Arabidopsis thaliana: one gene and its partners. The protein of the gene in region 1 purifies or fractionates together with the protein of each later gene. This does not show direct contact. Each region holds a gene or a part of one and is shown in the gene's direction. Other genes may lie near its edges.

What was found.
Region 2: the proteins of RPN5B (region 1) and RPN1B fractionate together in Arabidopsis thaliana (co-fractionation; one large-scale study listed by BioGRID). This does not show direct contact.
Region 3: the proteins of RPN5B (region 1) and AT3G18190 fractionate together in Arabidopsis thaliana (co-fractionation; one large-scale study listed by BioGRID). This does not show direct contact.
Region 4: the proteins of RPN5B (region 1) and AT3G03960 fractionate together in Arabidopsis thaliana (co-fractionation; one large-scale study listed by BioGRID). This does not show direct contact.

The regions. Positions count from the first base shown.
Region 1 is NC_003076.8:25,892,214-25,898,788, reverse strand, and holds RPN5B (regulatory particle non-ATPase subunit 5B), read left to right. Parts: upstream 1-2,202; 5' UTR 2,203-2,343; coding exon 2,344-2,346; coding exon of another isoform or gene 2,347-2,350; exon of another isoform or gene 2,351-2,449; coding exon 2,450-2,644; intron 2,645-2,804; coding exon 2,805-2,912; intron 2,913-3,024; coding exon 3,025-3,129; intron 3,130-3,227; coding exon 3,228-3,284; intron 3,285-3,388; coding exon 3,389-3,585; intron 3,586-3,728; coding exon 3,729-3,828; intron 3,829-3,922; coding exon 3,923-4,035; intron 4,036-4,136; coding exon 4,137-4,290; intron 4,291-4,388; coding exon 4,389-4,466; intron 4,467-4,543; coding exon 4,544-4,762; 3' UTR 4,763-5,009; downstream 5,010-6,575. Other genes in the region: RGF9 (root meristem growth factor), read left to right, coding at 704-779, 945-1,108; ABR1 (Integrase-type DNA-binding superfamily protein), read right to left, coding at 5,133-5,869. UniProt on the Arabidopsis thaliana protein: Acts as a regulatory subunit of the 26 proteasome which is involved in the ATP-dependent degradation of ubiquitinated proteins. Acts redundantly with RPN5A.
Region 2 is NC_003075.7:14,065,766-14,074,917, reverse strand, and holds RPN1B (26S proteasome regulatory subunit S2 1B), read left to right. Parts: upstream 1-2,335; 5' UTR 2,336-2,560; coding exon 2,561-2,677; intron 2,678-3,010; coding exon 3,011-3,111; intron 3,112-3,276; coding exon 3,277-3,397; intron 3,398-3,489; coding exon 3,490-3,549; intron 3,550-3,734; coding exon 3,735-3,845; intron 3,846-4,002; coding exon 4,003-4,068; intron 4,069-4,207; coding exon 4,208-4,329; intron 4,330-4,472; coding exon 4,473-4,587; intron 4,588-4,707; coding exon 4,708-4,782; intron 4,783-4,875; coding exon 4,876-5,034; intron 5,035-5,132; coding exon 5,133-5,240; intron 5,241-5,317; coding exon 5,318-5,419; intron 5,420-5,510; coding exon 5,511-5,651; intron 5,652-5,733; coding exon 5,734-5,838; intron 5,839-5,921; coding exon 5,922-6,143; intron 6,144-6,238; coding exon 6,239-6,352; intron 6,353-6,440; coding exon 6,441-6,656; intron 6,657-6,753; coding exon 6,754-6,813; intron 6,814-6,909; coding exon 6,910-7,023; intron 7,024-7,117; and 9 more. Other genes in the region: AT4G28480 (DNAJ heat shock family protein), read right to left, coding at 1-262, 521-966, 1,444-1,608; AT4G28460 (uncharacterized protein), read right to left, coding at 8,617-8,835. UniProt on the Arabidopsis thaliana protein: Acts as a regulatory subunit of the 26 proteasome which is involved in the ATP-dependent degradation of ubiquitinated proteins.
Region 3 is NC_003074.8:6,229,993-6,235,783, forward strand, and holds AT3G18190 (TCP-1/cpn60 chaperonin family protein), read left to right. Parts: upstream 1-2,115; 5' UTR 2,116-2,233; coding exon 2,234-3,844; 3' UTR 3,845-4,191; downstream 4,192-5,791. Other genes in the region: AT3G18180 (Glycosyltransferase family 61 protein), read left to right, coding at 278-434, 520-615, 727-1,886; UMAMIT4 (nodulin MtN21 /EamA-like transporter family protein), read right to left, coding at 4,517-4,682, 4,763-4,914, 5,009-5,402, 5,490-5,606, 5,706-5,768. UniProt on the Arabidopsis thaliana protein: Molecular chaperone; assists the folding of proteins upon ATP hydrolysis. Known to play a role, in vitro, in the folding of actin and tubulin.
Region 4 is NC_003074.8:1,021,386-1,029,195, forward strand, and holds AT3G03960 (TCP-1/cpn60 chaperonin family protein), read left to right. Parts: upstream 1-2,758; 5' UTR 2,759-3,046; coding exon 3,047-3,197; intron 3,198-3,409; coding exon 3,410-3,672; intron 3,673-3,760; coding exon 3,761-3,907; intron 3,908-4,017; coding exon 4,018-4,179; intron 4,180-4,334; coding exon 4,335-4,412; intron 4,413-4,530; coding exon 4,531-4,664; intron 4,665-4,745; coding exon 4,746-4,818; intron 4,819-4,899; coding exon 4,900-4,977; intron 4,978-5,063; coding exon 5,064-5,186; intron 5,187-5,267; coding exon 5,268-5,362; intron 5,363-5,474; coding exon 5,475-5,684; intron 5,685-5,851; coding exon 5,852-5,909; intron 5,910-6,141; coding exon 6,142-6,219; 3' UTR 6,220-6,506; downstream 6,507-7,810. Other genes in the region: ECT1 (evolutionarily conserved C-terminal region 1), read left to right, coding at 117-168, 526-596, 768-989, 1,138-1,686, 1,771-1,983, 2,105-2,242, 2,341-2,382; AT3G03970 (ARM repeat superfamily protein), read right to left, coding at 6,759-7,268, 7,352-7,810. UniProt on the Arabidopsis thaliana protein: Molecular chaperone; assists the folding of proteins upon ATP hydrolysis. Known to play a role, in vitro, in the folding of actin and tubulin. Contributes to stem cell maintenance through its impact on transcription factors trafficking through plasmodesmata.

The DNA.
Region 1 (6,575 bases):
TTGGTTTAAGGTCGGCTGGTAGTGTGCACCCATGATTTGGCAACATCTAAACTGGTTTGGTTAATAGATCATGGCAAGTTATTACTCCCCTAACCTCATTTCCTCTTCCTGTAATATATATTGATCTTGTATTTAAAAACATAGAAAGAAGTTAGATTTTGACAGTTTGAAAACTGAGGAAAGTGTTGAGAAAGAGAAGAAAAACGTTTTTCAAGAGATAGTTTCAAGAAATCAACTACAAACAGGCATTTATCAAAGGTGACAAGTCATTGATCTTCGTTCGTGATTTCATCCGACCTTTTGATTACCAAAGTTCCTGAATTTTTTTATTACTAAACTGGGTTAAGGTATGTGTTTCGGTTTAAATTTCTTACATATACAAATGTGAAATTAAGTTTGTAACCGAAATTCTGTTTCTCATTCAAAAGACGTGATTGCATAAATTATCATCATTTATTTGCTTTGCAAACAAGAAATATTAATTTTGTGGGGATAGATTCATGTTAATGTGGGAAGACAGAGAAATATCGACGTCAAATCCTTAGACCCATATGTCTCAATAACTTCCAAAACGTTATTCAATTCCGATATAAAATTGGGACCATAAACTGATCATAGAATCATTCATCTCTATATATAAACACAAAAAGGTTCAACAAAAGATAATTCTATATAACCAAAGAAAAAAAACTCTCTTCCAAAAATGGCAATTAGGGTTTCCCACAAGTCTTTCCTCGTCGCACTTCTTCTCATACTCTTCATTTCCTCTCCTACTCAAGGTAAATTTATAGCTAATATATATATACACACAAGCGCGCTCACCTCACGAGTTTCTAGCTATATCAAGTATAATTTGAATGAATCTTCTTCTTGTTTTTTGGTTGAATATCAAAATATATTACCCAATAATGAGTTCTTGATATATAAACATTTTGATTTTTTAGCACGAAGCTTACGAGAAGTAGTAAGGAATAGAACGCTATTGGTTGTGGAGAAGAGTCAAGAGAGTCGGAAAATAAGGCACGAAGGTGGAGGAAGTGATGTTGATGGATTGATGGATATGGATTATAATTCTGCGAACAAGAAAAGACCGATACACAATCGCTAATAAACACACATGAACTTATCGAATTCTTGTGAGATATCCTGAGATCCAAAGATATCCCGAGATTTTATCTTTTACTAAACATAAATTATAAGAAGTGAGAATGTATTTTATATAAGAAAAGAAGTGAGAATGTAAACTATTATTATTTATAGGAACATATAAATATAAACGACTTTGTATGCATGTGTACAGTATTATCTCGAGGGAAAACAGTTCTATACAATAATCATAGCTTGTGTGTGCTAGCTTTATGTATGGATTGCATCATGGTTTTCTGTTTGTGAAATAAAACTCTATAATATATTATGTGTATATAGAAACCCACAAATATCTTCTTTAACTCTGTTGTAGTATTAGTTCCAATAAAATAAAATTACACCTCAAAAGAGTATTTGCTGATTTTATATATCGAATTCAAACCTACGGAAGCTCCCATCCCATGAAGGTGTTGTGGATATTTGATATCAAAATATGCATATACCAAAATACAATCAAATAGATTATAATTTAAAGTAATAGGACTTTGGAAAAACTAGGCAACATACCAAATAATATATGGGATCAAAGTTTTCGACAAATATCGATTGGTTTTCAGTCTCCAAACTTCTTTCATTTAGAAGGATAGAACTTAAATTCATTAGTGTCTTAATTTTGTAGTTCCACAAACAATAATCCTTGTCTTAACATATAAATTAGTCTTATAAGTCAGTAAAATCATGGTGAAATTTCTCTACTGCAAGTGGAAGGATTCAAAAGAAAGAAAAATAAATCCGAGCAATTGATGGATTTTCTGTTACTGTTAGAGAGTTGCCGAGGCTCGAGCGATAATGGGCCTTAAAAAACTTACTCAAATGGGCCATATGGACCTTAGATTTTCATTTATTACAAATGGATCCTATAGTTTCGTTCATAACATATTACCCAACAGCTATTTGGGTATGACCCTACAGGCGACAGGTAGGTTTATTCAATATTTACCTAATAGACCCAATAGATACTTTTATTACATATGTACACCAAAAGTCTTACACTATTTCGTTAAAAGTCCCAATAAATAAAACGTTATAATTAGGCCCAAATAGTCTGAGCTAAGCTTTTCTTGTTCAAGGGGTTGGGGTTTCGACGCTAACATTCTCTCTCTCAGTGAACCTTTAGAAGTTAAATCTGTTTCATCACCGGAAAGTTTCACTAACTCTTCTTCTCTCTCTCGGAGTATTGATTCCCGGCGTTTAGCAATGGCAAGTCTCCGATTTCACAGATCTGATTTTCAACTCTCTCTCTCTCTTTTCTCTTCCGTTCGAATTTTGGTTTGTCAAATTCGATGTCGTGATTTGATTGCAGGAAGAAAGTAGACAACTCGAATCGTCGATTGATCGGCTGCTGAACGAAGAGAAACAGATGAGGCTCGCAGAAAATGTCGCCGGAACTAGAAAAGCAGCTACCGAGATTCTTAAGCTTTGTTTCGAAGCTAAGGATTGGAAACTTCTCAACGAACAGATTTTGAATCTCTCGAAGAAACGTGGTCAGCTTAAGCAGGTCACACTACTTTCTATCGATTTAGCTTTTGAAACCTGCTTGTGGTAGTTTAAGGTTTTCGATTACTTGGAACGGTTTCTACTGAGTTCTGAATCTTACTGAGAAATTGAATGAAGAACTGAGTGAGATATTGAAAGTGGTTAGGTCTCTTGATTTGCAGGCTGTACAATCCATGGTGCAACAAGCAATGCAGTATATTGATCAGACACTAGACATAGAAACTCGGATTGAGCTTATTAAGACTCTAAACAATGTAGCTGCTGGAAAGGTGCGGATTAGAGTTGGCTATTGTTGTTGTTGTTGTAGTTATATTTGCTTGAATCTTGATCACTCCGTGCAAGTTTTTTTCTTGATGAATATGTGTGTGTGAGCATGTGTAGATATATGTCGAAATCGAGAGAGCTCGTTTGACCAAGATGCTTGCTAAGATTAAGGAAGAACAAGGTTTGATTGCTGAAGCTGCGGATCTCATGCAAGAAGTTGCTGTAAGCTTTTCTTCCTCTACTTTCCAACTTTCGTGGAAATCGTTTTTTATTTATTTTATAGTTTATCAATGTGCATTGATTGTGATTATGAATTATAGGTGGAGACATTTGGTGCTATGGCAAAAACTGAGAAAATTGCTTTCATTCTTGAACAAGTAAGACTTTCTGTTATCTTTTCATATTTCTTAAGCTTTGTGCTTTGTGCTTTGTTCTTGTTTGTATGTTGTGATTCTAATTATTGGTGTGTAAACTTCTGAAGGTCCGCTTGTGTTTGGATCAAAAAGATTTTGTCCGTGCACAAATTTTATCTAGGAAGATCAACCCAAGAGTGTTTGATGCAGATACCACGAAGGAGAAAAAGAAGCCTAAGGAAGGTGAAAACATGGTAGAGGAGGCTCCGGCTGATATACCTACATTGTTGGTGCTAAAACGGATTTACTATGAGCTAATGATTCGGTAAGTCCTTGATTTGGTTTAATACATTCTTCGCCAGTTATTGGTGTCAAAATATTTGAATATTATTCTCCTCTGAATTTTGATTTCCCTTTACTTCTGTGATCTTTATAGTAAAAATATAATGTGCTGATTCTGTTGTGTAGGTATTATTCTCACAACAATGAGTACATTGAGATATGCCGTAGCTACAAGGCGATATATGATATCCCTTCTGTAAAGGAAAACCCAGAACAATGGATTCCAGTAAGTCTCGTATTGTTGTTTGGATGATCTTGTGGTAGTCTACGTTCTGTAATTAGCTTGGATTAACTTTTCTCCCTTGATCCTCTAAATATAGGTCCTGAGAAAGATTTGCTGGTTTTTGGCCTTGGCACCACATGATCCAATGCAATCGAGCCTACTCAATGCAACCTTGGAAGATAAAAAGTTATCAGAGATTCCTGATTTCAAGTAATTCTCTTTATCTTGATAAAAATTTGGGTTTTCACTACTCTTCCCCTCGTTCCCATCTGAAACAGATTCTCAATCCCTATGTTTATATTCTGTTGCAGGATGCTTCTAAAACAGATTGTTACAATGGAGGTGATTCAGTGGACATCTCTCTGGAATAAATACAAGGACGAGTTTGAGAATGAGAAAAACATGATTGGAGGCTCTTTGGGTGACAAAGCTGGTGAAGATCTCAAACTAAGAATAATCGAACACGTAAAGACTCTTTGAGCTCTAATCTATCTTTACCTCTTTGATTGCATCAATTGTTACTGAAGAGTCTTAACTTTACAAATTCTTCACATCTTCTGCAGAATATTCTCGTTGTCTCAAAGTACTACTCAAGGATTACCTTTAAGAGACTTGCAGAACTTTTATGCCTAACCACTGAGGTAAATATAGTTTCAAAATACTCTTAAGTGTACCAGTACATGTTTAAATCTCTTCTTACCGTTTCATTATATTTCAGGAAGCAGAGAAGCATCTATCTGAAATGGTTGTGTCCAAAGCCTTGATAGCAAAAATCGACAGACCATCAGGAATAATCTGCTTCCAGATTGTTAAAGACAGCAACGAAATCCTCAACTCGTGGGCAACAAACTTGGAGAAGCTTTTGGATCTTGTTGAAAAGAGTTGTCACCAAATTCACAAAGAAACAATGGTTCATAAAGTTGCACTAAGAGCTTGAGAACCCGGTCTAGCCACACACATCGGTGGAAAGAATCTTTCAGGCTCTCGTTCTAACATAATCATTTGAGTTTTCTTTCTCTGCTTGGTTCGAACACATTTTTTTTGTGTTCTTTAGGAGACCTTGCAAGATTATATACAAAACTCTCTTTTTTTTCCTTTCTCCATGTGGTCTTTTTAATGTTTGTTACAATGAAACGAAATTATAATGCAAAAATATAATAAATTAAGAAAAAAAGCATGAGAGGATGAAAGCAGAACAATACAAACAACCTAAACCCTATAATATTTGGAAAAATAACTCTATAACATATAATCATTTTCCTGTTTTCTATTACTCTATAGTGAAACAAATAAAATGAAGCAAGTCATCAGGAGGATGGACTATTATTGTAGTTATTACTAGTCTTGTCTGATGGCCATTGTATATCCTGGAGATAACCGGTTTCGCTAGCTGATTCTGGTGGCGGCTGAACAGCAGCCGGGGAAAACAGAGGACGAGAATGAGATGATGATGACGACGTAGATTGCATCATTGAACCTCCAGTGTGACCGAAACGCAACGGAAACGACATTTGATCGTATAAATCCAAAGATTGTTGATGATGTTGCTGAAACTGTTGTTGTTGACGAGCCATTTCAGAGTAACTCAAGTTGTATGATTGCATCAACGGCTGCGAATGAACGCTTTGATTCGAAGCAGGTCTTATGGGCAAAAGGGTAGTCGTTGAACCCGAGTTCCTTGACTGGGTCGGTCTTTGAGCAGCGGTTTGGTGCACAGGTTGTGCTTCGGTTGAAGCAGGTCTAACGAGTTTGACGTTTTCAGGGAAGTTGAGTTTGGCTTTGTTGCCTCTAAACCGAAGTGCAGCTTCGTCGTAAGCTCTTGCTGCTGATTCAGCATTGTCGAACGTACCGAGCCAAACTCTAGCTGCTTTAAATGGATCTCGAATCTCAGCCGCCCACTTTCCCCATGGTCTTTGTCTAACTCCTCTGTATCTTCGCCGAGGTTGGTCCCCACTAAACGACGACGTTTCGCTACTAGCAGTTGCCGTAGTTGTATACTCGTATGTTGGGCCCGGACCTGACATGTTACTCGAAGCTTCTCTCACTGCAAATAAACAAACAAACATGTAAAATTTCACACTTTTGTTGTCACTCGTGAATTAACACTTTCTTACATAAGAAAAAGAATCGATAATATTAATGTCTCCAATAAAGATATTATAAAGTTTTTTTTTTAAGAGCGAGTATGAGAAAGTGATGAGGCAAATGGGTGACAAAAGGAATGAACAAGTAGAAAAAAAAAGGAAGTGGAAAACGACTCTTGATGCAATTGGAGGGAGATAAATTCTTTTGGCATATCATCATCATCATCATCATTTTCTTAATTAAATATCCAACCTTTTTACAACAATTCTAAAGTATATGTCTTAAGATAATCAAGTACAGTTTCGTTATTATATTTATTTTTGTCAACACTTCGAAATATTTATTTACATCTTTACGCTAATTACTATTTTTTATTCCTCATTTTTCTTTATATTTAAATTATTATAAAGTATATCTAACTTCGCCATATTTTAGAAAACGATAAAAGAAAAGAATAAAAAAACTAAATATAAGACATGTTGCTTTGTAGATTGCGTGAGGACAACAAAAGTGCAACTGTATTTAGATTTTGTGTTACAAACATTTGATGTGACTCATACCTTGATGTATATACTACATCATAAAATTATTGAAAACATTTATCAAATAGAATGATCTTATAATTTAAATGTTTTATGTTTTGTGGATACACAACCGAAATATGT
Region 2 (9,152 bases), on another chromosome or scaffold:
TGTAAGTGTACGGCCATCAAGGGTCGCTATGTTTGCGGTGTAGCCTGTTAAGGCATCAGCTAGTGAGACTTTCTGTGTGACAATCAGGTCGTTGCCCTCACGGGTAAACACTGGATGGGGTTTCTCGTCAATGATGAAGACTAGATCCGCTGGAATCACACCTGGATGCTCATTGCCTTTCTCTGGGAATGTGATCTTTGTGCCTTTCTTCCACCCGGGTTTCACTCCAATCGTTAGAATCTCTTCCACTTGCATTGCCTTACTGCATTTACCAGAAGACAGATATTAGATATTGTTAAGACAACAACTAGGGTCAGCTCAAATCAACAATTAACCATATGGAAGCTGGGGAATGTTGCAGAATCTAAAAGCTTGAAACTTTGTTTCATATATGTTCATCATACTTGGGACTTGGGAGGTTGTATATTTCTAAAACCATGCTCTAGGTTGACTAGTAGATAAGCCTAATAACAAAATGTTATAAGTGTGATCGAAATGGTATCTGAGTTCAATCACTTACCCGCTGACATCTACAATCTCCCTGGAGATCTTCATCTTCTTGGTGGTTCCTTTGTAGAGATCTTCAAGGCTACAAGGCAACTTGTTCTCGATAGGAGCCACTTTCCTAGCTGCAGCGTGATGATGATGATGGTGATGATGATGCATAGCTCCTCCTCCACCTGCTCCTTCACCAAACGAGGCATACATATCATCACCAAACATGCGGCTAGCGAATCTCTGCCCTCCAGTGCCACCACCACCGCCACCAAACGGGGTCGAGAACCCGAAAAACTCAGCGAATATATCATCTGCACTTCTCGGGTTGAATCTGAAAGACGAAGATCCATCTCCTGTTGAGAAGTAGGATGCTCCACTAGTAGCAGCATTGGGAGGTGGCACATTCCCTTTTAACCCTTCCTCACCGTATTGATCATATACAGCTCTCTTTTGAGGATCGCTAAGAACCTAATCATCTCACAACAAAAACCAACATTAGCCTCATAAAAGCCTGAGTCAAATCAAACAATCTTAGTATGTTCCTCATAATCCTAAGCTACACATTGACAAGTACAGAGTGCCTAAGAGGTTCTCAATAATCAATCACAGAGTTAAGAAAACGGATAAATCATGACTCAGAAGATCAGCAAAGAAAGCACAAATTAAGAGCTTTGGAGATAACCTAGCTTGCCCAAATATAAAGCAATCATCTTTTACTATATACTATGATTCGAATTACTCAGGGACACGAAATCTAAAAACCCCACGAACCAACACAACATCAAATCGTGAAATCAGACTAATTGCATCTCATATCAAAAATCAGAAACAAGTTCGTGACCACCGACAGTATCAAGGGAATGAAAATTTCTCAATAGAAATAAAAATCAAAACTTTAGGGACGATTTCAATAAAGCAAAAGCAGTGGAGGAATCAAACACATACATCGTAGGCCTCAGAGATCTGCTTGAACTTAGCCTCAGCGTCTTTTTTGTTGTTAGGGTTCTTATCAGGATGCCATTTCATAGCGAGTTTTCTATAAGCTTTCTTAAGGTCATCGTCGTTAGCGCTTCTATCAACCTGTAAAACCTTGTAATAATCAACTCCCATCTCACCTTCTTCTTCTTTGTCTTCTCTCTTTCGTTTCTTCACTTTTCCTGAATTCGATTAAACAAAAAAAAGGAATTGGTAATTTCTGGATTTCTTGTTCGTCTCAGGTCTCTTCTTCTTCTTTGGCTTAGTATATCTCGTGGAAGGTTCGAGAAAACACGATCTTTGTTTGTCTCCGTTGACGGGGAGGTGACGGTGTTTTAAATCACAGCTTTGCCATCTTGCCTCTTCCCTTCTCCATTTCTTTTCCTTTTCTTCTTTTATTATCGCTCAAGTAATTCAGATTCTCCCATTTATATTATTAATTATAAAAACAATTAAATGTTATTTCCTCTTTCATTATGTGAAGGTATATGTTTGAGTTCGACTAATATTGCTAACTTTACCATAAAAGAACATGTCGACTAAGACATGTAACGTATTTATATAAATGTTGCTATTATTATGTTGTTCGAATTTAAATCCGATCGAATTAGTTGCTTCGAATTTAAATTGATCAAATGTAAATCCGATAAAATAGATGTTTTTGGAGTCCTTTATTTTGTGATTGGCTATATCGCCCAAATAAAATAAATTTTAAAGTGTTGATTATATATAGAGATGTTTGCCAAAGACAAGGTGTTTTATATAGAGACCATAGTAGAATACTATGGCCCAATGAATAGCCCAATTTATTATGGGCTGAGCCCACAATGGAATTCTTGATCGAGGGGTAATCTTCTTCCGTATAAGTACTTTTTTTTATCTGATAGTATTTATTTTTTACAGTTGAACCTTTTTGCTACAGTTCCTGAAGAAAAGCATAGTTCTTCTCTAACGAGCCATTCCAGAGAGACTTAGGGTTTACGCGAGAGCTCATAAGATAGAAGCTGCTCGATTCTTCCGAGTTTTACGAATTTCGATACTCATTGTTTGGATTCGTTGATTTGATCAGGTGATAGTCTGACTTACAATGGCTCCAGTTCCGGATCCGAACAGTGTTGGCGGTGGTGCGAAGCGGGACGAAGCTACGACGAAGATTCCTTCTAAGGATTCCAAGAAGAAAGATGATAAAAAGGAAGAGGATCTGGTGAGTTTTCTTTATATCGATTTCGATTATTAGTTGGAATCGTGCTTAGCTGAGTTAGAAAGAATCCAGGGAGATCGGAAAAAACTCACGATTAAGCTGTAGATTTTCCGAGATGTACGGTTTAGCTGATATATTGTGAATGTCGCATTGCTATTTAGAAAGCGAGGTTAAGAAGTTGGTTAAATCCACATTATAACTCGTTCTGGGAAGATACAATTCTTGTTAGGGTTTAAGTCACATGGAGTTAAATTAATAGGAATCTTTTGTACTATGGCTATGGTTTTAGCTGGTTTGATTGGCAGCTGACTCAATTTGCATATGATGTTATTGTAGTCTGAAGAGGACTTGCAACTAAAGCAGAATCTGGAGCTCTATGTTGAGAGAGTTCAGGACCCCAATCCTGAGTTACAGAAGATTGCTCTTGAAAGCATGAGGTAGTTTTTGTATCTCTTAAACCCATCCTTGATTTGATTAGATGCAAATATTCTGATAATTTTCTATTGGAGTTTCTTTAATGGGCTTATGACACTTCTTTTGCTGCTTTTAGTGCTTTCACTGTTTTCATAGTCTAATCTTGATCGATCTCTTTTGGTATGTAGGAAGGAAATTCGTGACTCAACAAGCTCCATGACATCAGTTCCAAAACCCCTCAAGTTTCTCCGCCCTCATTATGGAGTTCTTAAAGAATTTCATGCAAAAATGGCAGAGTCTGATCTCAAAGTACGATTTCAAACATTTTAAGTCATTTCTCATCAACACCGTCTTAGTCGTTCTACTGAGTCTGGATTATAAGATCGCACTCGTTTTTGCAGAAAATGTTGGCTGATATACTTTCTGTCCTGGCACTGACCATGTCTGCTGAAGGTGAAAGGGTATGCTTTCTTGCTACTGTTGTAGGAGTTTCTTGCCTATTGCTATTTGCTTCACATTCATTTAACTAGATTCCCTTTTGTTTTCCTCTTATGATATGCCTTACCAGATTTGTGTTTTGTGGTTCTTGGTAGAATTTGACTTAAGCTATTTGTTGCTGATCCTTTGTTATGCAATACTCTTTCAGGAAAGCTTAAACTATAGGTTGAATGGATCAGAGAGTGACATCGGATCGTGGGGTCACGAGTATGTCAGGAATTTGGCTGGAGAGATTGCAAAAGAGTATACAATACGTCAGGTTAGTAAACAATTTGGTCTTTGGCAATGTTCTTTAGCTCGAGGAGTTTCACTCATATTCTGGCAACGTCATGGATATTATGGTTTGTTAATGAATATTATGACAATGGGCTCGTTACTGAATATGGTTATAATGCTCATTCTTTTTGTTATATCAGGGTGAAGAGTCCTCTATTGAAGACTTAATGGATCTTGTGCAGCAAATTGTTTCTTTTCACATGAAGGTGAGATCCTTGTCATTCTTACTTTTCTTGTAATAACAAGGGGTCCATTGTATATTAATATAAGTTTCATTGATAGGCGTGAAATTTGCGCCTCTTGTTTTGTTCACATTTTTGAAGGATTCCCTTTTGTTCTTTGCAGCATAATGCCGAAACCGAAGCTGTTGACCTTTTAATGGATGTTGAGGATCTTGATCTCTTACTTGAGCATGTTGACAATACAAATTTCAGGAGGACGTGCAACTATCTCACGAGTGCAGCAAAGTAATTTCAATATGTTTAGCTTATTCATTCGACTGGCGTTTCACCCTTAATTATGTTATTTTCATATGAGACAAGCTCTCATGAGCTTTGCTTGGTTATCTTGCACATTATCAGTCCCGTTGATATTGTATGTTTTTTTCCAGGTATCTTCCAGGACCAGATGACATGTTGGTTCTAGATATTGCTTACATGATCTACATTAAGTTTGCAGAATATCCAAACGCGCTGCAAATTGCATTATTTCTTGATAACATGCAGGTATGGTTCTAATCTTCATATAAAACTTAATATCCTCTTTCTGCAACATGGGAGCAGCTGGGAAAAGCTCTTCTTTAACTTATGTATTTTTCTTATGATATATATTTTTCCTTTGTGCAGTATGTGAAGCAAGTATTTACCTCATGTACCGATCTGGTAAAAAAGAAACAGTTCTGCTACATGATTGCACGTCATGTAAGTTCTTAATAATTTAAATTAGCATAAAGGTGCAGTACCTGATTTTTTATTTTCTTATATTTATTTTTCTCTTGTTATTTCTCCATGCAGGGTATGACCTTTGAGCTTGACCAAGAGATGGTTGCAAATGACGAAGACAAAGAAGCGCTACAGGATATTGTTAACAACTCTAAGTTGAGTGAAGGATATCTGACGCTTGCTAGGGATATTGAGGTCATGGAGGCCAAGACGCCTGAAGACATCTACAAGGTATATCAGTTTAATTGAATATTATGTCTGTTACTGGTTTATTTGGTTACAGGATATGTTTATGGAAGTGCCTCTTACCTGTCCACTGAAATTTGCAGGCTCACTTGCTTGATGGTAGGGCTAGCTCTGGTCCAAGTGTGGACTCAGCTAGGCAAAATCTATCTGCGACTTTTGTGAATGCATTTGTAAATGCTGGATTCGGCCAGGTATGATTACAGGATCTTAATGTGCAACATAAGAAGAACTTTGGAAGCTGCCCTTTTCATATATTTCCTTATTGCAGGACAAATTAATGACAGTACCATCTGACTCAACCAGTGGATCGGCTGGAAACTGGCTCTTCAAAAATAAAGAACATGGAAAGACCAGTGCAGTTGCTAGTCTGGTATACCTCATCTTACTTGATAAATTGATTAGCTATGTTTTTATTTTGGAAGTAAAATTGTAACACGAACTTGTTTTAACAACAATTCTAGGGTATGATTCAATTGTGGGATGTGGAGACCGGACTAGGTCATCTCGACAAATATTTCCATAGTAACGATAATCCCGTCGTTGCTGGAGCTCTGCTGGGAGTTGGGATTGTTAATTGTGGCATTAAGAATGATTGTGACCCTGTGAGTTTTTTTTTTTTTTTAATATGGGAACCTCTGTGTCACAATTTTTCGCCATTCATTCTCACTCAGCTCTCTTTCTCAGGCATTTGCCCTTCTTTCAGGTTATATTGACAATGAGGATTCATCTGTCCGAATTGGTGCTATTATGGGTCTCGGGATTGCATATGCGGGTTCCCAAAATGATCAGGTGAATACATGTTATCTTCTTACCTATGGTGCTAAGTTGAATGTTCTGTTGACGAGACAATAACATGCTCACTGTTTGGATAGATAAAAATCAGGTTGTCTCCAATACTAAATGATGCCAACGCACCTCTCGATGTGATTGCATTTGCTGCACTTAGTTTGGGGATGATTTATGTTGGTTCGTGTAACGAAGAGGTTGCACAATCTATTATATTTGCTTTGATGGATCGGAGCGAGGCAGAGCTGGGTGAAGCCCTCACTCGTTTCTTGCCTCTTGGACTTGGTCTTTTGTACCTTGGCAAACAGGTGGGCAGCCAGTCATACTTGATTATTTTTCTTGTTCGTGTACTTGATCGTTATTTCCCCGATTATTAGTTTTAACTTGTTCCAATATCGAGCAGGAAAGTGTGGAGGCTACTGCAGAAGTTTCAAAGACGTTCAATGAGAAAATCAGAAAGTATTGTGATATGACACTTCTTTCATGTGCATATGCTGGAACCGGGAATGTCCTTAAGGTATCTGATCAAGTGTGCTAGTGGTTGAATTAGATTATTCACTTCTTTCTAGTTTAGTCTGACTCTTCAAACTATTCAAACTATTCAGGTCCAAGACCTTCTGGCTCAGTGTGGAGAGCATCTGGTGAAAGGTGATATCCACCAGGGTCCAGCTGTGATTGGATTAGCTATGGTTGCTATGTCTGAGGAATTGGGTCTGGATATGGAGATCCGTTCTTTGGAGCGCGTACTACAGTATGGAGAGCAGAACATTCGACGTGCAGTGCCTTTGGCTCTTGGTCTCCTATGTATATCAAACCCAAAGGTGAGTATTATTTTTGCATATCTAGTTTTCGGCGGCGTGCAGTTACTTTTCTGCTTAAGAATACTGTTGTTACTCTCTAACTTTTTTATAATTCCAGGTGACTGTTATGGACACTTTGAGCAGACTAAGCCATGACACAGATTCAGAAGTTGCAATGGTGAGTTATCTTTTCGCCACTCATGGTTGAGGTAGAGTAGTTATTTCTTTGACTTGCTATGCAGCGTTGGACTGATGTTTCATCTGATTCCTACAGGCAGCAATTATCTCCCTTGGATTGATAGGCGCTGGAACCAACAATGCAAGGATAGCTGGCATGCTTAGAAATCTCTCCAGCTATTATTACAAGGATGCCAGCCTTCTTTTCTGTGTAACGTTTTATGATTTCTTTTTAAGTTTTCATGGAATAAACACGGTTTCTACTTATGATAGGCTTGTTCTCATTGTCTTAAGTCACAATGCAGGTGCGCATCGCTCAAGGGTTTGTGCATATGGGAAAGGGTCTCTTAACTCTCAATCCTTTCCACTCCGAACGGCTCTTGCTATCGCCGTAAGTTATAACATATATTTTATGTATACTTTGCTTTCAAAGCTCCACCTTGTGAATCCTAAACTTGGGTGTTGTATTTTGTACCTAGAACCGCACTTGCTGGTATAGTGACATTGTTGCATGCATGCCTTGACATGAAATCCATTATACTGGGGAAATATCACTATGTGCTCTACTTCCTTGTTTTGGCGATGCAGGTGAGTGCAATTTTCTGTCTGATGACTTTTTTTTTAATGAACTAAGTTTATCTACTAACACAATACGGTTTGAGTGTGTAGCCAAGGATGATGCTGACGGTGGATCAGAGCCTGAAGCCCATCTCGGTGCCAGTGCGGGTAGGACAAGCGGTTGATGTGGTTGGACAGGCAGGCCGACCTAAGACAATCACTGGGTTCCAAACGCACTCAACACCTGTTCTCCTTGCTGCTGGGGAGAGAGCTGAACTCGCAACCGAGAAGTATGTTGTTCCTCTAATCCCCTTGTTACATTATCCTACTCGAAATAAAACTCTGTTTTACATATTGGAATCTAAAAAAACTCTGCTTCTTTTTGGGTCACAGGTACATTCCGTTGTCGCCCATATTAGAAGGTTTCGTCATATTGAAGGAAAATCCAGACTACAGAGAGGAGTAAATCCAAAGTTGCAAGCATTTGAAGAAAGAGAGAGAGCCTTTGAATACTTTCACTACGGTTGTCAAAAGTTTTTTAGTTTATTCCCGTCTGTTCCCAGGAAATGGTTCACAATCTCTCCTTTTAAAAGAAAAAATAGCTTCATTGCAATATATAGGAACTTCTTGTGCACTACTTTAATATCGCATTCTAAAAGCTGGATAAGTTTCCAAATCCAATTCTCTTAACCTGCAACTCCTTCAAATCAACTCGTTCGACGTTTCTATAAACTTGGCTTATTGATTATGGGCTCTTTGGTTTGCTGCCCTGGAACTTCAAGTTCTTGGTTTGTACGCACTCCAACTTCAATTTGTGACATGCAAAGGCTCCTCTCGTTGTTTCCGGATTTGGCCAAAACTATGTAATATTATTAAAATGTTGAAAGGGTGACCCAGCTAGCCCGGCTACATATTTACAATTTTACATAGATGGCGTGCACGACTCACTTGTTTCCTCGGTGTATCTTTTTTTTTTTTTTTTGAATAAGTTCGTTCCCAAACATAAACCAGAAGTATAAAATCTTATTAAAATTAGCAACCAGCAAAAGCAAAAATCATGTACATGTATATTGAGGGTTTTAGTTTCTGTCACTAACTATATGAACTTTGCCTAAAGAAAAAAAAAACAAATAATGAAATAAATGAATGGAATACAGTTTTCACCGTTTGTTCTGGTATACATATGGGGTATATCGAGATTAATTAATCTCCTCCGGCCAGGAAAAAAAAAGTAAAAAAGGAAAATTTAATGGCCGCGACCTCTTGGACTTGGACCCGACGCCAAACGCTGAAACCAAGAATCCACCGTCGATTTCATCTTCTCCACCGTCATAGTCGCACTTCCATCTCCCGATTTTTCAGTAAGAACCCTCCCCGCCGCAGCCGGAACCACCACGTGTTCTACGAAAAACAACGACACCATCACAACCACAATCAAAACAGTAGACCAACTAACTCTTCTCATCGTATTTTACTTTCTCTTCTTTATGTTGTACCGACAAGTAATAAAATAAAACAGAAGCCTTTTTTTTGTTTGATATCAAAGAAAATTAAGAGATATGGTTATGTGGGAAATCAAATAAATGAGAGGGAATATTTATAGTTATTTGACGAGGAAGCGGTCATGACTTGAGAGAGTTCATCACTTAGGTCGGGTTTTCCCGGCGCTAGCTCACGATTTTGCGTGTTGACCAAGTATTATGACTTGAACGGGTCGCTCTTATGACACTTTACGATGTGCCAAATTACATTTATACCCATTTTGGTGGTTTTTAGTTTTTT
Region 3 (5,791 bases), on another chromosome or scaffold:
AACTCTACCAATATAAGATCGAACCACTTTGAACATGCTCTAGCTAGTTCTCTTCTTTAAACCAGTACCCTTTATATTCATTCTCAATAACTAAAACGTTATAGTGAAAAAAAAAACACAGATAATATCGTCAAACAAATTCTTAAATACCTCACATAATCCTCTCGCTCTCCCACCTAGCTTGACCTTCATATCTCTACATTAGCCAGTAAACTCTGATTATAGAGTTTCTTGCTGAAGAAGAAAGAAAAGTTTTGTGTAACTTAAGAGTCAAGAGATGACAAAGAAGGATATTCTTTACGATACAGTACTTGCTCGTAGTTTTAGCAAAACTGATCAGAAGAGACTTTGCTGTGGAGCTTTCATTGCCTCTCTTCTCTTGGTCCTCACTCTTTGCACTGTCGTTAAACCTTATCTCAGCCCTTTACCAATCGGTAAGTCTCTTACCACGTTTTGCCGAAAAGCCAGATAACGCAAAAACAATCATTTTAACGTGTATCTCTTTCTTTCTTTCTTCAGTGGAGTTACAGTTATCAGTTGGCACTGGTCTAAGGATGCTGAGTATAACAGAATTAACTACCAACACTACAATCTCCAAAGAAGAAGTTATTTCAGGTCAATATACTTCAGAATTTTCTCTACAATTGTCTTGTTATGGTTTTTAGTCATTTTCTGTATAGTATGATACAGTTTGTTCTTTTGATTTTGTCCTGACTGAATCTTCAGAGTGCAATAAAATGGAGAAACCTATCTGTCACTGTAACACACTAGGAAGCAAAGAGTTTTGCGATGTAAGCGGCGACGTAAGAATCCATGGTAAATCCGCAACTGTTCTTGCGGCGGTCACGTTTGCGTTTTCCGGGAATTCCACGTGGTATATGAGACCTTATGCGAGAAAAGACCAAGTTCCTGCCATGAAACGCGTGAGAGAATGGACGGTGAAATTAGTACAAAACGCTAGTTTATCACGCTGCGTTAGGAATCACAGCGTTCCGGCGATTCTTTTCTCTCTCGGAGGCTTCTCGTTGAACAATTTCCATGATTTCACGGACATCGTGATTCCTCTGTACACGACGGCGCGTAGATTCAGCGGTGAAGTTCAGTTCCTCGTGACGAACAAGAATCTTTTGTGGATCAACAAATTTAAGGAATTAGTGAGGAAACTCTCTAATTACGAAGTGATTTACATCGACGAAGAAGACGAAACGCATTGTTTCAGCAGCGTCATCGTTGGTCTCAATCGCCACCGTGATTATGACAAAGAGCTAACGACTGATCCTTCGAATTCGGAGTATTCAATGTCCGATTTCCGGAAATTCCTCAGAGACACATACTCATTGAGAAACTCCGCCGTGACTACGAGGCGGAAGCCACGGATTCTGATTTTGTCTAGGAGCAGATCGCGAGCGTTTGTGAACGCGGGTGAAATCGCTAGAGCGGCGAGACAAATCGGATTTAAAGTCGTGGTGGCGGAAGCAAACACGGAAATCGCGAGTTTCGCAATAACTGTGAACTCCTGTGACGTGATGCTCGGCGTTCACGGCGCGGGGATGACGAACATGGTGTTCTTACCTGATAACGCGATCGTGATTCAGATTCTTCCGATCGGTGGATTCGAGTGGCTTGCAAAGATGGATTTCGAGTATCCGTCGAAGGGCATGAATCTGAGGTATTTGGAGTACAAGATCACGGCGGAGGAGAGCACACTGGTGAAGCAGTACGGACGCGATCACGAGTTCGTTAGAGATCCATTGGCCGTTGCAAAACGCGGGTGGGGAACTTTCAAGTCGGTTTATTTGGTACAGCAGAACGTTAGCGTTGATATAAACCGGTTCAAGCTGGTTCTTGTCAAAGCTCTTGAGCTATTGCATAATCAGTCAGTGTAAATAAGTAACTTTCAAGCATTCGTGTACTGTAATCTTGGGAACGAAATAATTACCAGATCATTTGGTCTAGTTTAGATTTTTCTCAAATTTGTTTAACCGTCCCCTTAACAAACACTCAAGTCTGAAGTCTGAACCAATAACTGGGCCTTTTGGGCTAACTCATAAAAACTCAAAACAGGCCCATTTATCAAACAATAGCGTATACCCTAGGGCTTTTTTCAAATTCTCTATTCTCTCTTTCATTTCCAGAACACTCTTGTCACACTTCCATTTAGGGTTTTCTGCAAATTTCTCCGTTCGAGATCAATTCCGTCGAGATCTCAAGCTCTCTCACTCGTAGTAAAAAAATGGCGGCGGTAGCGGCACCAATGGCTTCGAAGCCCCGTGGATCTAAAGCTGAATCGTTCGTAGACAACAAGCGGAGAGAAGATATCCGATTCGCGAACATCAACTCTGCTCGAGCAGTCTCTGACGCCGTCCGTACTAGTTTGGGACCGAAAGGAATGGACAAGATGATTTCCACGGCGAACGGAGAGGTAATCATTACTAACGATGGAGCTACGATCCTTAACAAGATGGAGGTTTTGCAGCCAGCGGCGAAGATGTTAGTCGAGCTTTCCAAATCTCAAGATTCAGCCGCCGGAGATGGTACCACAACTGTCGTAGTAATCGCCGGTGCGCTTCTCAAGGAGTGTCAATCGCTTCTCACAAACGGGATCCACCCTACTGTCATTTCAGATTCGCTTCACAAGGCGTGTGGTAAGGCGATCGATATTTTGACTGCCATGGCTGTTCCAGTGGAGCTCACTGATAGAGATTCACTTGTGAAATCTGCGAGCACATCGCTTAACAGTAAGGTTGTTAGTCAGTACTCTACATTGCTTGCTCCTTTAGCTGTAGATGCGGTTCTCTCTGTTATAGATCCGGAAAAGCCTGAGATTGTGGATTTGCGTGATATTAAGATTGTTAAGAAGCTTGGTGGGACTGTGGATGATACACATACTGTGAAAGGTTTGGTTTTTGATAAGAAGGTTAGCCGTGCTGCTGGTGGACCGACTCGTGTGGAGAATGCTAAGATTGCTGTGATTCAGTTCCAGATCTCACCTCCTAAGACTGATATCGAGCAGAGTATTGTTGTCTCTGATTATACTCAGATGGATAGGATCTTGAAAGAAGAGAGGAATTACATATTGGGGATGATTAAGAAGATCAAAGCAACTGGTTGCAATGTGTTGTTGATTCAGAAGAGTATTTTGAGGGATGCAGTGACTGATCTATCTCTTCACTATTTGGCCAAAGCTAAGATTATGGTTATTAAGGATGTTGAGAGAGATGAGATTGAATTTGTCACCAAGACATTGAACTGCTTGCCTATCGCCAATATTGAGCATTTCAGAGCTGAGAAGCTTGGCCATGCTGATCTTGTTGAGGAGGCCTCCCTTGGAGATGGAAAGATTTTGAAGATCACTGGTATCAAGGACATGGGGAGAACTACATCTGTTCTAGTTCGTGGCTCCAACCAGCTTGTTCTAGATGAAGCTGAAAGGAGTTTACATGATGCCTTGTGTGTGGTTAGGTGTCTAGTGAGCAAAAGGTTTTTGATTGCAGGAGGTGGTGCACCAGAGATTGAGCTCTCAAGGCAGCTCGGTGCTTGGGCTAAGGTGCTACATGGGATGGAAGGTTACTGTGTGAAGTCTTTTGCTGAAGCTCTCGAAGTTATTCCTTACACACTAGCCGAGAATGCAGGGTTAAACCCTATCGCCATTGTGACTGAACTCAGGAACAAGCATGCTCAAGGGGAAATCAACGCAGGGATCAATGTGAGGAAAGGACAGATCACTAACATCTTGGAGGAAAATGTTGTTCAGCCTCTGCTTGTGAGTACCAGTGCGATCACTTTAGCAACTGAATGCGTTAGGATGATTTTGAAGATTGATGACATCGTAACTGTGAGGTAGTGTGGTAGTTTCTTTCAAAACAGGTCCCAGAACACTTCTATTGCTCTATCTAAGCTTTTGTTTCGTTTTTTTCATGTGTTGTGCTTGCACAATGGTTTTGAACTTAGACTCCCTTTTCTTGCAACATGTGCTATTGCAGTTAAGTGGCTTTATTTGTGGTTTAGTGCGATTGTATTTCTTTCTAGTGACTTGTGATATCAAGATCTCTCAGTTTTTTTTGTTTCATATGTTGATTTAGTTTTGGTTATGAAAGTCCAAATGGTAGGAGTAGAAACAGAACTTTAATTACTGGGACTCAAATATTTGATGCATGATGGGTCACAAAATCAGTTGCCTATCTGGTTAATCATAGACTGGGTCACAAATGTTATAGATTCGTTGTATGAAAGATTAAGACAGTACACAGTTGCATGAACATGAGTTCTCCAGGTCATTGGTCTGTCTCCAACCAGACCGGATCAGAACATTTGCTTCTCTATTGTCAACTTTGATTTAATGTTACCATCTTTTCATTTTTATTCATAAATAAATTGCAACCCAATTTTGATTACAACTCAAAAGTAAACGACTAGGATATCAATTGTATGAGAGACCCACTTGAGGAGCCTGTGTGTTGGCCAAGTTCTTGTATGTGTATGTACAGAGAAGTAATGCGTTGTGTTTGCAGCACTTTTACACTTCAGATTCAGAATTACTCTTCTTGTGTTGTGCCTCAAGTAGATGTTTGGTCAGTGACTCTGGATCTTGTTGACTCTCTTCAAGAGCCAGTTTTCTTTCTTCGTTTTTGCCCCAAAGAACTAAGTAGAGCCCTAGCATTATAAACACTGCACCAACAATCCTGCAAAGCCAAAAAGATTCTATTAGATCGAGTAATCGAGAGAAACAAAACCCGATACATCCCGTTTTCAATGCGCTTACCCTCCCGAGTATAACTGATCACCAAGAATAAGAAACGCCATCGCAGCAACAAGAAGTGTCTGGAGAGGCTGGAAAACAGCGACAAAAACTGGACCGCTTTTGTAGATACACCATGTTTGAAGATAAACCACCAACCCTGACGCTATTATTCCCTGTAAACACGGCCAAAGGAACATTCATTTAGCTAATTTCCATTGATTCAGATCAAGGAAAAGGAAGAGAGAGAGACAGAGGGAGGGAGCTTACGGCGTATAGGATGGTGAAGAGCTCTTCCCAAGAGACGATGATCCAATTATTTAGATCAGTTTCCACAAAGAGAGCAATAACCAGAAACTGAATCAGACCAAAGAAACATGTGAAGGATGTTAAAGTGAGCTTCGCCGGGTATTGCTTTAGAACAGGAGCTTGAAGAACCATCCAACCAGCCCATGACAGACAATGTCCCATAAGGTATAACCATCCGAGTGTCAAGCTGTGCGAGTTGTCAGATCCGACCACCTCTTCCTTTTGCATGTTAAGGCCCTGGTCAAATATCGGAAATCCTCTGTACAATGTGATCACGGTGGCTCCACCGATGCTCACAAGAGTTCCCAATACTTTTGCCACACCATGTTTCCTGACCAGGTCTATGTGCTCTAGCCTTGATTCATAGAGGAAGATCAATGTTAGACCCAGCCATGAAAATGATTAGAATGGTATTTCTAGGAGGACGAAGTTGCTAGGGTACCTTAAGGCACAAGCCATGATGAAAGTGATGGCAGGAACAGAGTTCTGCATTGCGGAAGCAAAAGTTGGAGTTGCATAGTAAAGTCCTAATAGGTAGAATCCTTGGTTCGCTGTGATGCTGATGTTAAAATACACAAGCAAAGTTTCAGCATTATAATCATTGATTTAAGGATTGAGGAATCGGTTCTTATTATTGTGTTCTCAGGTTAAGCTATACCCTATGAGTGCCAAGAAGAAGAACTGAGCCAGTAAAGAGATTGTAAGTGGAGGTCTTTCTTTTCTGTTGATAAACAAAGCATTGTA
Region 4 (7,810 bases), on another chromosome or scaffold:
CACCAAAAGCGCTCTCTCTCTCTGGGTTTTTCGAGGTTGCGTTTGCTTTCATCTGCCCAACCTTCTAGGGTTTTCCTTCTCTTAAAGCTTATCCCTTTTTTTTGCCTTCTCTCGATATGGCTGGAGCCGCTTCTTCTGATCGTCTCGTCACTAGCTTCCCTCTTCTGGGTACGTTGCTTTTAGCTCAAAGATTAAAACTTTTTTGGCATCGGAAGTTATCATTTTGTGCTCATCTTATAACTTGCGATTGATTTCTACCCTTGGGTTTAGGGTTTAGCGACTAGTGTTATCAGTATCTGTCGTAGGTTTTCTGTTTCTGATAGGATTGATTGGTGTCTAGAGTTCTCTACAAACCTCTTTATGGGATGCTAGATGAAATTTTGTGTTTTTCTGCAAGTTAGTGTTTTTTTATCTGCTTATGGGTTGAATTTCACCAGTAATTTGCCTTGTTTAGACTGTGCAATTGGAGTTTGAGGCTTTGTCATTTTAAAATATTAACTGGGCTCTTGTATATAATCGCTGCAGATACAGCAGATTTGTTTCAGGACTTGTCTTTAGGTTCAGATGCAAATGAAGTTCCTATGAACTTTACTAAGGTACTTAATTACTACTTCTTTTTGAAAATTTAAAGTTTTTGGAACTTAAATTGTGTTGTGTCGAAGGATCTTTAACTACAAACTGTTCTGTGGAGAGGTCTTGCTGCTCATTTAATGTGAATTTGATATACTGTGAGTTTTTTTTTTGTTAACTGACTGTTTTCTGAGAAGGGTTCTTTTCAGCATCCGTATGGTCATGCACCTTATGGTGCATCTTCTCATGGAAGTGAAAGAAGGCCAAACATGAATGCTGGCAATCTGCTAAATGGTGGAGACTCGATTGGTTCATACCCGTGGGGTTACATCCCAGCAAACTATCCTTCTGGTGGCTACCCTGATCCGAGGTTTGGTTATGACCGCAACAGCAATCACAGTTCCTTTTCACATCTCATGGTATGTTGGTTACTTCACATGACCTCTCTGCCTCTTTTCTGTCTTCATATAGTCAAGAGAATGTGTGTTTTGTTCTCTTCGTCATCTCTGCTGGGACTTGGGATTTTTTTTTTGTCTAATTACTGGCTACAACTGTTTTATTTAACAGAATCCACACAGCTCACAAGAAGTACCAAGTTTTGACCAATTGGGATATAATGATCATTTGTATTCCAACCATGGATTGTATGGACTTTACGGGAATGTAATTGACTCTGGTCATGCATATGGAACTTTTGGTTATGATTCCTGGAAACTTGGGCGAGGATGGTATCCCGTTGATGGTTATAGAAAGACCAGAAGCTTCAATCATGGGCGTGGTTACAGTGATGAGAAAGCAGATAGGCTTAATGAGCTATGTCGAGGACCAAGGAGTAGTGATTTCAAGAATCCACAAGTTCTTAACTCTTCAATGCTAGATGCAATGAAGCAAGACGTTTCAGCAGTAGATCTCCAGCGCTACAATGGGGAGAATTTCCCTGAATCATTTGTGAAAGCAAAATTCTTTGTGATCAAGTCATACAGCGAAGATGATGTTCATAACTGTATTAAGTATGGTGCATGGTCGAGCACACCAACTGGCAACAAGAAGTTGAATGCTGCATATTATGAAGCCAAAGAAAACTCCCAAGAATGCCCTGTGTATCTTCTGTTCTCGGTCAGTATGAGGTTACTTCACGTCTTGTGCAATATCCTTTCAGATTTACATTAAGTAACTCACTGTAATCGGTTTTATCTACAGGTGAATGCAAGTGGGCAATTTGTTGGTCTTGCGGAGATGGTAGGCCCTGTTGATTTCAACAAGACAATGGAGTATTGGCAGCAAGATAAATGGATTGGTTGTTTCCCTGTGAAGTGGCATATCATCAAAGACATACCAAACAGTCTCTTAAGACACATTACCCTGGCGAATAACGAGAACAAGCCTGTCACTAATAGCAGAGACACTCAAGAGGTCCGTTGAACTTCCCCTAAACCCTTTCTTGGACATGTTTGAAGCCTAATTGAATTCTAATAAATAATGATTATGGCTGTTAGTCAGGCTTTTAAACTGTACGGTGATGGTTTTGGTACAGGTGAATCTGGAGCATGGGACCAAGATCATAAAGATCTTCAAGGAGTATATGAGCAAGACATGTATACTTGATGATTACAAGTTCTATGAGACAAGGCAGAAGATCATCAGAGACAAGAAGATCAAGCAAAAGAAACAGGTACAATTCCTTAAACCCTGCTGCATCTAAAGCACATTAACCACCCCTCTTGATACAGTCTCTGGGATTGTTTCATTTTGATTGTTTTGTTATATTAGGCCCTTGATGGAGCTTCGGGGGAAACAATTAACTTGAGTTGAAAGATGGAATCAATGCAAGGAAAGAAGAAGATGACTTAATTAAAAGAACTTAGTTTTGAATTATGTTTTTTCTTCAGGGTTGGGATTTCTAAAAACCTAATACACATCTTTAATCTGTGTGTTTTCTCTGCTTATCTAAACAAAACTTACATTGTCTTTTGTTCCTCTTAAGGGGACGCACATCTGATAAAACAAAAACTCAGGCTTTCCTTCAAAGTTCATATCATGTTATTTTCAAGTTATTTCTCTTTTAGTCCCTAAACTTTCATATAATAAGACTCTCATCCGTAAATGTCAAAAATCTCACATTTTGGCCCACATCACCATAAAAGTTAAAACGACACCGTTTAGCACAAAAACCAGAAGGAATGGTGTTCTCTATTCGTCCCTAAACTTTCATATAATACAACTTTCACCCCTAAAGATTTAAGATCTCAATTTTTGGCCCCCATCCCCTTAAAATTTAAAACGACACCGTTGTGAACTCCCATTTTAAAACCTCGAAAGTTTTCTAGGGCAATCTCGGCCACTTTTACTCACAGAAAACCTTCTCTCTAAACTTCTTCGAAAATCTCACAGAGCTTCTTCTTCTTCGCTTTTAGGGTTTTTGCTCTATTGTTTCGAGTGACCCAACTTCGAAGCTTATAGATCGTTACCTTAGAAAATGGTGGGTATGTCGATGCAGCCATATGGTATTCAATCGATGCTTAAAGAAGGTTACAGGCATCTCTCTGGTCTCGACGAAGCCGTCATTAAGAACATTGAAGCTTGCAAGGAGCTCTCCACCATTACTCGCACCTCTCTCGGTCCCAATGGTTCGTAATGTTTCTCTGATTGGGATTTGATCTAATACTGAAATGATGAATCTCGTTTTCTCCGTTTCGTTTTACTTTTACTTGAGTGTTGTAAGTAGGATCTCGCTTGTGTATAGTTTAAGCAAGCTTGATCTGTTACTGTAAAGGTGAAGTCTTTTTCTAGGGATTCAGATTCGGATTAGAACTGAGTTCTTCTGTTTATAATGTTTCAGGAATGAATAAAATGGTTATCAATCATTTGGACAAACTGTTTGTCACAAATGACGCTGCTACTATAGTGAATGAGCTCGAGATTCAGCACCCGGCTGCTAAACTTCTGGTTTTAGCTGCTAAGGCTCAGCAAGAAGAAATCGGAGATGGAGCTAATCTGACAATCTCCTTTGCTGGTGAACTTCTTCAAAACGCTGAGGAGCTTATCAGGATGGGACTTCATCCGAGTGAGATCATTAGTGGATATACTAAAGCTGTCAGCAAGGTTGGTGAATACCTGAATTACTGTTTTGTGCTTTTCAATTTGTTTGTCTTGAGTATTTGACGAATGCTATTGGATTTTGATTATGCAGGCTGTTGAAATACTGGAACAACTGGTTGAGACTGGTTCTGAGACCATGGATGTACGTAACAAGGATGAAGTTATTTCTCGGATGAGAGCAGCTGTTGCAAGCAAGCAGTTTGGGCAAGAGGAAATAATTTGCTCTTTAGTTACTGACGTAAGATATTCCTTGCTATCTATTTGTTTCCTGTTTCGTTGTTCAGATTGTTATTTATTCAAGTTTATTGCAGATTTAGATTTTACTTGATGGGTTCATATTATTTCTAGGCATGTATTCAAGTCTGCCCAAAGAATCCAACGAATTTCAATGTGGATAATGTTCGTGTTTCCAAGCTTTTGGGAGGAGGCTTGCACAATTCTTGCATAGTCCGTGGTATGGTCTTGAAAAGTGATGCTGTTGGTAGCATTAAGCGAATGGAGAAAGCGAAGGTGAGATCTCTTTCTTTTGTTTATGCTTTTGACAAAGTTTTTTTTGTCTGAATTGATCAATGTTTGGGTCCCCTATGAAATATAGCTTTGTGGGTTTGTCTTTTCTGTTTTTGATAGCTTAATGTCTCTAAATCAATTTGTTATGCTTTCTTCAGGTTGCTGTATTTGCTGGTGGCGTTGATACCACTGCAACAGAGACCAAAGGAACTGTCCTCATTCATAGTGCTGAGCAGGTTAGATTTGTTACTGTCTTTCTAAAATTTCAAAATTACGATTATGGCTTCCTCAAAGATGGTTGTGTATTTGTAATCGTTATTGTGACAAATTTCTCTTTTTATATTGGATTTGTAGCTAGAGAACTATGCAAAGACAGAGGAAGCTAAAGTTGAGGAGTTGATTAAAGCAGTTGCGGAATCAGGAGCCAAAGTCATTGTTAGTGGAGGATCAATTGGAGAAATGGCATTGCATTTCTGTGAGCGCTACAAGTATGTGTAGACCATATCATGTTATACTCGTCTTAGCTATTGTTATTGTCTGCATTCTGATACCCCATTTTTTCTTGGCAGGATAATGGTATTGAAAATCAGCTCAAAGTTTGAACTGAGGCGTTTTTGCCGTACAGCGGGGGCTGTCGCCCATGTAAGTGTTATTAATTGGCTATCTGAATGAGTATCTAAGGGTGGTTTTATCCTAGCTTTTAATCCTTTAATTATCAAACAGTTGAAGCTTAGCCGGCCAAGCCCTGAAGATCTTGGATATGTTGATTCTATATCGGTTGAGGAAATTGGTGGTGTGACAGTAAGTACTCCGAAGTCAATTCCAATATTTTTGGTTAATTATTTTTGTCTTTCATTAATCATAGACAATTCTCGGTCTTCTTTTAGGTCACGATTGCAAGAAACGAGGAAGGTGGTAACTCCATCTCCACTGTGGTCTTGCGTGGAAGCACAGATAGCATTTTGGACGACCTTGAGAGAGCTGTTGATGATGGAGTTAACACATACAAGGTAATATCTAGCTTCATTTGTACCATCTATATCGTATAATTCATTAATTTGTGACTGTTATTACTTCAATTTTATTTTCAGGCCATGTGCAGAGACAGCCGTATTGTTCCCGGGGCTGCAGCGACTGAAATAGAGTTGGCTCAAAGGTTGAAGGAATACGCCAATGCAGAAATAGGGTAACTTTCTTTTACTTCATTTTTTCAAAAATTAAACATGTGAGGCTAGCTTTTAAAGCAAAACTGTCTATGGTTTGGGGACTGAACTTAGGATTCGCTTTTGAAATTTCAGGTTGGACAAATATGCCATCACCAAATACGCTGAGAGTTTTGAGTTTGTACCCAAGACCCTTGCAGATAATGCTGGCCTCAATGCGATGGAAATCATAGCCGCTCTGTACACTGGACATGGATCTGGAAACACAAAACTAGGCATTGACTTAGAGGAAGGTGCTTGTAAAGATGTTTCAGAGACAAAAGTATGGGATCTTTTTGCAACCAAGTAAGTTTCAGACTGTCTTTTTGCCATCAAATATTTCTATCAGACGTCTCTATACTTGCTTAGCAGTTGTTCTTGAACATATAAAAACTGGAGTAGAATTTTCTGACTGGTTACAAAGATTACCATTCACTTTAATTGATAACTAAGACGCTTAAGTCTCTGTGCAGGTTATTTGCCCTTAAATATGCTTCAGATGCTGCATGCACTGTACTTCGTGTAGACCAGGTATGCACAAACTGACTTGATTTAATCTTTGGTGAACGGAGCAATTTTTTATTATATTGTAAAGTGTTGATTCATCACATGAAGTAAAAAGATATTGTTCGGTGAATGCATTATCTTCCAGGATTAAGTCCCTTGTTCGTGAAAACTCTTAGATTCAATATTCAGTTCCACTGATTGATCTCATCTACTAAAACATGCATGTTTATACTCAAAATTTATGTAAAATGTGCAGATTATAATGGCGAAACCAGCAGGTGGACCAAGGAGAGATGCAGCTCAAGCTGCAGGTGCTGGTGCGGAGGAAGACTAAGCCGGAGAACAAATACCTCGTAGTGAAACTCTCTTCTTTTGTAACCTTCTGTTCCTGAAAGTCTGAGAAAATTTTGGTATGTCTCAGTTTAAGATTTGTGATCTTTGTAACGCACCACCAACTTAAGTGTTTTGCCTTCTTTTTCTGTTTTGCCTTGTTTTGGCTCGTCTCAACACTCAGATTTTCCGGTTTAGCTAGTGAAATTATTACTAGGATTTTTGGCTTAACTCTGTATTAATGTCAATTTGGTTTCTATTTGAATCGACTTTTGAACAAGTGACAAAATCATTCGGGGAAAAGAAAATGATCCACACATTGACAAAAGAACAAGAGAACCTAACTAGAAATTGAACCTATGTAAATATGTCTGGTTAACAGTTGTTTCGACTTTTGAACAAGTGACAAATTCATTAGGAAAAAGAAAACAAACAAACTAGTATTTGAACATGATCCACACATTGACAAAAGAACAAGAGAACTAAGCTAGAATTTGAACCTATGTAAGTTCTAAGCTTTTTAATGTTCATCCCTTAGACTTTTTAAGTCGGAACAAGATGAGGAGGCATCATATCATCCTGGAGATACATCCACATGAAAGAAGCAAACCCTGCAACTGCAATAGAGAAGACACTCAATCCCAATTTTAACACACCCTTGCTCCGTCCCAGACGTGGGTCTAGTTCAGTCTCCACTGTCTTAAGTTTGGCCTCAGAATCCAAATCTGTTTTTGGTTTCTCACAGATATCTTCTGTTGTGTTGGTTGGAGTTGTAGTACCAGAGGTATCATATATTGATGATGATGACGAGGTTTCACTGTACTGTAGCAGCTGCTGTCTGTTATCTAGTAACTCAGTGAATGGATCTTGTGCGAAACCATGCCTGTGATGTTTTGAACAAATGTCTCCTGATTGTCTCTTCTTGGTGTTTCGTCTTGAACTTCTTGAGCGGTTGGTCCTAGAGCACACAGATTCATTAAACTCGGAGCTTCTGTTCCGCTGATGGAACCAAACTGACTCAATGTTGCCATTTTCAACACCAGAACATTGAATCTGAAATCAAAGAAGCACCACAATGAAACTTCACTGAAAAAGGACACACAAGAGACAGCTTTAAAGTTTGTAGTCTTTTTTACCTGATCTCCAATTCTTGGACTCTCGATAACAAAACCAGTTTCTTGGTTATTGTCTCCGAAAGTCACCAGAGGAGAGCCTGAGACAAGAGTTCTTCCACTGGCTACACCAGAAAACAAAACATCATACTCGTCTTGATCGTTTACATAACTCCTATCTTGTCTACTATAGACACTCCCATCATGTTCTCGCAGACTTGATGTAGACTTGACTGATCCGCTGAGCGAGTTTCGGGGCTTGCAGTTCTCTGCATCAAACATCGGATCTGCCTCACATATTAATCTCTCTGCTTGTCTCATGGTTTCATGAGCTGCCATTTTGACATAATGCTGATCTTTTTGGTATTTCTCCATCTCTTGATATATAAGCTCTAACTCAGAAGAAATACTCTTGGGATTCAGATTCTTCATCAGAAAGTTGAGCATCTGTATAGCTAAAAGCCGTTTCTGAGAATCTCCCTC